Daphnia pulex: one gene and its partner. The protein of the gene in region 2 interacts with the protein of the main gene of each other region in a pairwise test. Links are inferred from orthologs where the notes say so. Each region holds a gene or a part of one and is shown on either strand. Other genes may lie near its edges.

Region 1 (4,368 bases), on a different chromosome or scaffold from region 2:
TAAATCTGCTACCACTGAAAGGCGCTGAGCCGCTGATACACGAACTGCATCATCAACCCTCGGGATGGTTGAAATTTGAAAACATTCAAAAAATAATGAGAAAAAAATAAGAACGTTGACACCTAGAAATGGATGTATTGGTTGTACATGATTTCATGGCAAGGATTTGCGCGGTGAACAGATGAATATAGTGTTTAAAAAGGAGACACGGATTAGTGGAAAATAATATAAAAACGTACCAACGAGAAAGAAATATTTTGAGCTTCACTTCAAAGCGCCAGTCATTTTTTTTATAGGACAGAGGAGGAACTGCAAAATATTCTAATACCAAAAATTGCATTCGGTTCCACCACCATATCAAAAGAAAAGTATTTTTTTTCAGTTAAAACGCAAACTTGATGGGAATTCTTGTGTTTTTTTTGTTTTTTTAGAAATAGGACTCGGGTCCGTGGGATGTGGATTTTCGAGAATACTGATGATCGTTTTTTCGGTGACGGGAGAGCGTACGTGATTGTAATCGGAGATGTTCGGTTCACTTCTAGTTGTCAAATAAAAACGATAACGACTACATCGACGGTTTCAACTATACGCAAAAGCGATTAAAACTACAGAGGTTTCTGAAACAAATGAGAAAAAACAAGCACCGATCGAGGTGATCCACAGAAACATTTTCTATCAAGACGAAACAACAAAGCTGCACTGAGAGGAAGGGACAAAAGAAGGAGTACGAGATGGGTTAGAACGAGTTAATCGAACAGCTGAAGATAGCTTGTAACGCACAGTATGATCAAGATCTGATGAAGTTAGTAAATTAAGAGTTGATTTGCCGAGAAATAGGGTGGAGGAGGAGAAGGGGCACTCGTCCACCCCTCAGGGTGAATTCACTTGATGCATACTTGGATCATAACCCATCGATGAATCGCCATAGCCCTACAAACACGTTTACATTAATTAATATGCTGAGATACCACTAGTTAAGTCATTAAAAGTAGTTTACTTGGCCGCCCATGGAGGAAGGAAAGTCACCACCGTTGAGTCCCATAGCACCGTACGGGCCTAAGGAATCTTGTGGACCCCTGAGTTCAGGACCACCAGGTTGAGGCGACATCATCGGTCCGGGAGTTCCAGCCATACTGTATGGCGAGGAACCTAACGAGAAAGAAAAAGTACGAAAATTAGAATCGCTCCGGTAATACGAGGATTTGAAAATCCTCAGAGTGGAAACAACTACCCGCGGCCTTTTTAGCAGCATACAGGTTGGCCTCCTCTTGGGCTTTTCCAATGTTTTTCTTGTAACGAATTCGTTTGTTACCGAACCAATTCGAAACCTTTTTTGTAAAAATAACAAAACATTAATGCGCTTATTCCTCTTAAAAGGATTTAAAAAGAAATTAACCTGTGAAACGGTGATCCCACATTTACGAGCGAGCTCTTCTTTGGCTTCTTCACTTGGGTAGGGGTTGCTTAGGTGCGAGTAGAAGTACTCATTCAAGATCTCAGAAGCTTGTTTGCTGAAGTTACGCCGCTTCCTCCTACATGATGAAGACATCGATAGAACAACACCTTTAATGGGCGTGGTCAAACCTTAAAAAAATAGCAAAATTTACCTGGCGTCGAGGAAACGAGATCGTAAAATCATAACGGCCTCGCAAGTGCTTTGCTTCAGCTGCATTTGGATGGAGCTAAACTTGCGATGAATGATCTGAACCATCCGCTCAATCTCCTTGGGTGTAATCGGACGAGTACGGGATTGTTCTCGGAGCAAATTCATAACATGGGTGGTGAATTCACTGCAAGCCTGAAAGCGGATGTAAAAATGAAATGGTTATTCTCCATTTTCTTGTCATAGAGGTCCAATAAAAAAATAAGCATTGCTAAAAATGTGTACCTGCTCATATTTCTCAAGCTCTTGATGGTAAATTTGACGAATTTGTGCCAACTTAGCCCTATAATCAGAGTGTTCAATAGCCGAGTCCGACATTGAGCCGCTTTGAGACGCTGCAGCTGATGCATTGGCAGCAGCACCGGCCCCACCTCCTTTTTCAGGACCAGCTACTCCTTCAGCAATCAACATGTTATCCAACCGCATGAGTTGCGGATCTGGAGGCTCCTCTTCTTGCGTGTTGCGTAGCGACAAAACTAAAGTGAGAGCACAATTTAATGTTACCATTCAATCACTTGGATTCATATTGAAATAGGGTTACCAGTTTTCTCTTTGATTTCACACAAGACAGAAAACAAAGCAGGTTTCATGCGATGACAGTTCAGGGTATGCTTGCGTGCTTGGGCTTCATCAAGACTCTGGTCTGTGATGTTCATGATCTGTTGCAGAATTTCTCCAATATCCTAAAAAAAAAGAAGTTTTACTTAAAAGGAAAAAAAGATTTTGGAAATGGAATTGTACACACCTGCTTTCGTCCAGTCATATTTTCAGAGTCTTGGTTCCCTCCATCAAGTGAAGCCATGTTAACCCCAACATTGACTCCGACATTGACAGGAGGTAACCCATACGGTGGCTGATGCATTAGTCCAACCTGGCCACCTGGAACAGGATGCATAAGTCGATTTGGATCATCCATCAAAAGCAATGAAATCTTCCAATGTCACTGCACAAAACGTATTGCCTTCAGGCTACAGGACCTGGCAATAAAGACCCTGTAAACAATGACTTTCCGTTTACTAACATCCATACATGTGATTTCATGAAATGTAAACATAAAATGAAATGTACTAGACACAACAAAGCACTAGTATTGCAAGAAAGCAATCGTAAATAACAAAAATTGGCTTCGGTTAATATAAAAATGCCAACGTCTTATAAAATGCCCAAGGCGACAAGCGTCCGCCATGGAAGAGAAGTTTGCTTGCGTAGCGTATTTCTTTCAATTAGAATAAAAACTTTCTTTACTGACTTGACACACAATTTGAAACCGGGAATTCACGAGTTGTTTAGTATTCAAACAGACTGAATCACATTTCTCAAAGGCTCATAAAATAATTACCAGAGATCGCCGAGATTATCGACGGGACAAAGCAAAAAAGACGCGAGAACGCGATCACAAAGGTAAGTATCGATAATTATATCGGGTAAGCCAATAATCGATGTACTAGAAACTCGCGATACTGTATTTATTTTTTATTTTGAATTTTATTAATTAAAATTTTATTTTTACAAATGAAAACGCAACAAGAGTAAAAATATAATGATGTTTGATGTTAAAATGTATTAATTTGACTTTAACCTCTATGAAGATAAATACATTTAAGTTACATAAGAGGCATTTTCTTGATAAATCGTCGATGCCACAAAAATGCTGTGATAATTGATAATGAATACCACGTTAAAATGTACGAAACGTGTTCATTTCTAACAGTAACAACTGTTTGTCCACCTACAGGTCCATCCGGTACTGTGCTATCAGCGTCCGCGTCAAAGAAAATTGGCGCAGTGTCTAGAAGCCGAGCCATTCCCTCCACATCTCTGTACGCAATATATATGAAGTTATCTAACTTTGCGAAAAATATAATTGTCTTTACCTGAAATGAAACATGCGGTCTTTGGGCTGATTTTGGGGTACAAACTGGGGGCGATTTTCATTAGAGCGGTACACTCCAATCAGTTTTGTTTCGCCTTCTCTTTGTCCATTTAGTCTGGTGAATGGATTCATTTTTTTACGAGGAATCCATCCGCGGTTTACAAGAACTGTGAGACTAAAAGTAACTTGTAGAAAATTGAGAAAATTAACTGTTTGAATGTCTTACTTGGAATCTGATAGTTTAAATGGAGTGATGACTAAATAGCCACTCTGCCCTGAAGACAACATCCCACCACCTTCATTTTTTTCATTTCCAACCAGTGATCTTGGCCCAATGTAAATCTCTTTGTCATGTTCAAATTTTCCATGGAGTTCAAACTTCCGGTATTCCATGTCAGATAGCCCTTCAATACTGTAGAGCATTGGTGTAAATATGCATAAAAGGGTAGAGTTAAAGAATTGTATCAGTCTCACTCTGTAGACTGAAATGGAATTGGTGGTGCAGACGTTCTGCTGGCAAGATGATCAATAACACCAAGTTTCCACTGACGTCTGAAAATCTGCCAGGTCCCAAGGCCGAAAGTGATGGCTGGAATAGCCTACATTTATTGGATCAATTTTTTGTTAAAGAACTATATGTACGTTTTATTTTTAAAATCGATTATCTTACCAATAACGAATAACCGTGAATTCCGATATCTACAGCATTTCTTTGCCCATAGCTTGAGGCTGATCGTCTTACGTAATTTTGTGTACATGTCTGAATAGTAGCAGAAAATGAATGTTGAAAAACACAGTTTTGAAGCTATAAACCAAATTACCTTAATTCTTC
Region 2 (2,878 bases):
ACACACACGGCACGCAAACGCGTGTAGTCACAGCACACACACACACACACACACAAACGGAACAAAAAAAACAAAACACTGACGAAAATGTTCTTTTTCGAAATAAAAACAGAAAAATAGTTTTGATGATGATGGTGTTTTTTTCTTCTTCTTCTTCGTATCAGAAAAGGGGAGCAGAAATTCTCAATTTCGATCCACCGCTATGACACCCAGAGTCCGGCCGAACGGGAGAGTATGCTGGAAAGAAGAAAAAACACAAAAAATTTATTAAAATATGATTTTTAAACTATTTTGGAATTTGGAATTTCGAACAGGAAAACCATCAAATTCCACAGTTTATAAAAACATGTTTGTTTTTTGTTTGTTTGTTTGTTTTTTTATTGCGTGGATATTTGTCGGATATAATTATTTACCTGTCCACCGATGGGGAACAAATTTCGAAGCTGATGACTGGCTGATGATGGCGGATGAGTGGCGGCTGGCGCGTTCCTGACGGGATTTTTCGTGATGTTTCGGTCGAGAGGAGACGAAGAAGAACATTTGTGGCGTAGTAGACGACGTGATGTTTTGATAGTGTGATGACATTATGATACATTTATGTATATATATAATTTGTGTGGTGTCTTGTTTTTGCATTTGTTTTGTCTTTTTAGCTGCTTCGAGTAGTTTTTTCTTGAGGGGGAGGGGAGGGCGGCGGACATTTTGGACAGAAAAAACGAAAACATTTCGGCGTTCAATTTTTATAAAAAGAAAAGGAGAGGGAAAACAAAAACAAAAATGGGGGGGAAATGAGGGACAAAATTGTATGGGTAGCGGAGAGACACGCATGCAGCAGCAGGAGCAGCAGCCAACGAGAGTCGAGTTTTGTGTGTGGGTTCTTTTTTTCCAGTGTCGTTGATTTTTATTTTTAATTTTTTTTTTAAATTTTTGCTTCTCCTTCACTTTTAATTTCTTCAGAGGTGATGGCCGTAGTACTGTGGCGGGTAGTGGTACTCGGAGTGGAAGGCCATAGGATCGGCCGGCGGTCGATGCATCATGGCCGCCGCCGCTGCTGCTCCTCCGTCCATCATGTAACCCATACCGCCGCCATCGGGACTGTAAGCGCCGCTAGGGCCAGCCGGATACAAAGCCACTATATTTTTGAGAAAAAAATAAAATAAAATGTAGACATTAAAAATCGCGTTCAAATTTTAGATAGGCAAGAATAAAGGAGCTATAGTATTGATCATTGATTAGCTTAGGCCTACACTAAAAGGAGCGCTGCTGTTTGAGCGGGCGAGAGAGAGAGAGAGGGGGAGCAATAAGCGATCAATTAGCTCAGCGACAGTGTGTGTCCCAAGTATCATCACAACTACTACATAAAAAGGGAAAGAAAGGAGCTTATCTCCGGTTTTTCATGGCGTCTCAACAGCAGCGGAAGAAAGAAAAGGAAGGCAAACAGCTCATTCGTGCGCCCGTCTCTTTTTCTCTGTTCTCTTCTTCTACAATGGCACTGTCAATATTTAATGCCACGACAATTGGTTTTATATATAGCAAAAGGAGGGAGTGACGCTATAGCAGCGGCAGCAGCTGGGCGCCGGATGATTATACTCCAGTTGATGTTGGTCTCCGATCAACTTTTCTTTTTCTTTTTTTTTCTATGTGTACGATATTATCTGGGCAATCGAATCTCCACAGACGAGATAACGAAGCTACACGATACAAGATATATATAAAAGGAAGAAATCCAAAACTTACCGGCACGATTCGACTGGTCGATCATGGGCTGAACGATTCTACGCCGGGCGTTGATAAACCTGGAGGGGAAAAAAGAAAAATTTCTCCAATTATTAACAAGGCTATAATAAATTATTTTTGAAAAGGAAAGAAGAAAATAAGAAAAATCTCATTATTCGTCGTAGGGAATTAATTTTAAGCGCATACGCATTCACTCAAGTCTCCCTTTTTTTTCTTATTTATAAGGAAAAAAAATTACATTATAACTCTGGGGCTCTTTTCCTATTGTGTCGACGAGGACAATTGAAAAAAAAAAGAAAAAACATCTTTGAAGAGAAGAAGAAGAAGAAAAAAGGGGTAACGAGTAGAATAGTATAATCATCCAGGTGACGTCAGCATCAAAGACGTGTTCATAATGAGCCGTGTGATTCGACGGTCGAGACGACGGCCTGTCCGTCGCTTGAGAAAAAAAGGGGCCGGAATACGTATATATACTAGATATATTGGATGGGCCTATAGAGAGAGACTGGCTATAGGTGGACGGCCTCAGCACAATCATTACCTTAATTGCAGGTTTTCCCTGTATTATTCTTCCCCGATGTTGATAAGAATAGTTGGAAAAGAAAGACACACGGGCTCTCTCTCTCTCTGATGTGAGAGAGCCAGCAGCTGGTGTGCTGGCCAGCCAACTTATTTTCAATTTTCATTCGCAAGACAAAAGGTACCCCACAGAAAAAGAAGAAAAAAAAGAGGAGGAGGTGAATGATATGTCCGTCCATCTTCTTGACGCTTTACATACGGGAAGGCATTATTTTTTAGATGCCCGGAACCCAGAAAACATGTTCAACTCAATAAAATAAAAACAACCGAAATTACCAAAAACACAAAAAATTTAATTTTCTGTTTTCCCCAAAAAATAATAAAATAAAAACCTCAAAACGACTGGGAAAACAAACGGAAATGTATACATATATACATATATATCCAGCGCAGCGGAAGCCCTGGCCAAGCTGTCACTTGACCCCAGGAACTATTACAGTCATATAAATATAATATAGTTCTCTCTCTCTCACTGCTGCCCGGGTTTCGTGATGATACGAAACATCTCATAAATACCTGCTGACTTGTGTAACGGCTGTTGTGCTCTTTCGCAGGGGGCCAA

What was found.
Region 1: the proteins of homeobox protein homothorax-like (region 2) and homeobox protein extradenticle-like interact in binary tests that used the Drosophila melanogaster proteins (3 or more experiments, as listed by UniProt). The link is inferred for Daphnia pulex from reciprocal best matches to the Drosophila melanogaster genes hth and exd.

The regions. Positions count from the first base shown.
Region 1 is NC_060023.1:11,356,147-11,360,514, reverse strand, and holds homeobox protein extradenticle-like, read right to left. Parts: upstream 3,090-4,368; 5' UTR 3,003-3,089; exon of another isoform or gene 2,913-3,002; intron 2,656-2,912; 5' UTR 2,580-2,655; coding exon 2,409-2,579; intron 2,347-2,408; coding exon 2,205-2,346; intron 2,140-2,204; coding exon 1,889-2,139; intron 1,799-1,888; coding exon 1,608-1,798; intron 1,533-1,607; coding exon 1,397-1,532; intron 1,329-1,396; coding exon 1,229-1,328; intron 1,150-1,228; coding exon 998-1,149; intron 931-997; coding exon 871-930; 3' UTR 116-870; downstream 1-115. Other genes in the region: surfeit locus protein 1-like, read right to left, coding at 3,268-3,481, 3,538-3,711, 3,763-3,948, 4,011-4,135, 4,207-4,296, 4,358-4,368. UniProt on the Drosophila melanogaster protein: Transcription factor which acts with the selector homeodomain proteins altering the regulation of downstream target genes such as wingless (wg), teashirt (tsh) and decapentaplegic (dpp), thus affecting segmental identity.
Region 2 is NC_060026.1:11,046,510-11,049,387, forward strand, and holds part of homeobox protein homothorax-like, read right to left. Parts: intron 1,797-2,878; coding exon 1,738-1,796; intron 1,133-1,737; coding exon 954-1,132; 3' UTR 414-953; intron 238-413; 3' UTR 1-237. UniProt on the Drosophila melanogaster protein: All isoforms are required for patterning of the embryonic cuticle. Acts with exd to delimit the eye field and prevent inappropriate eye development.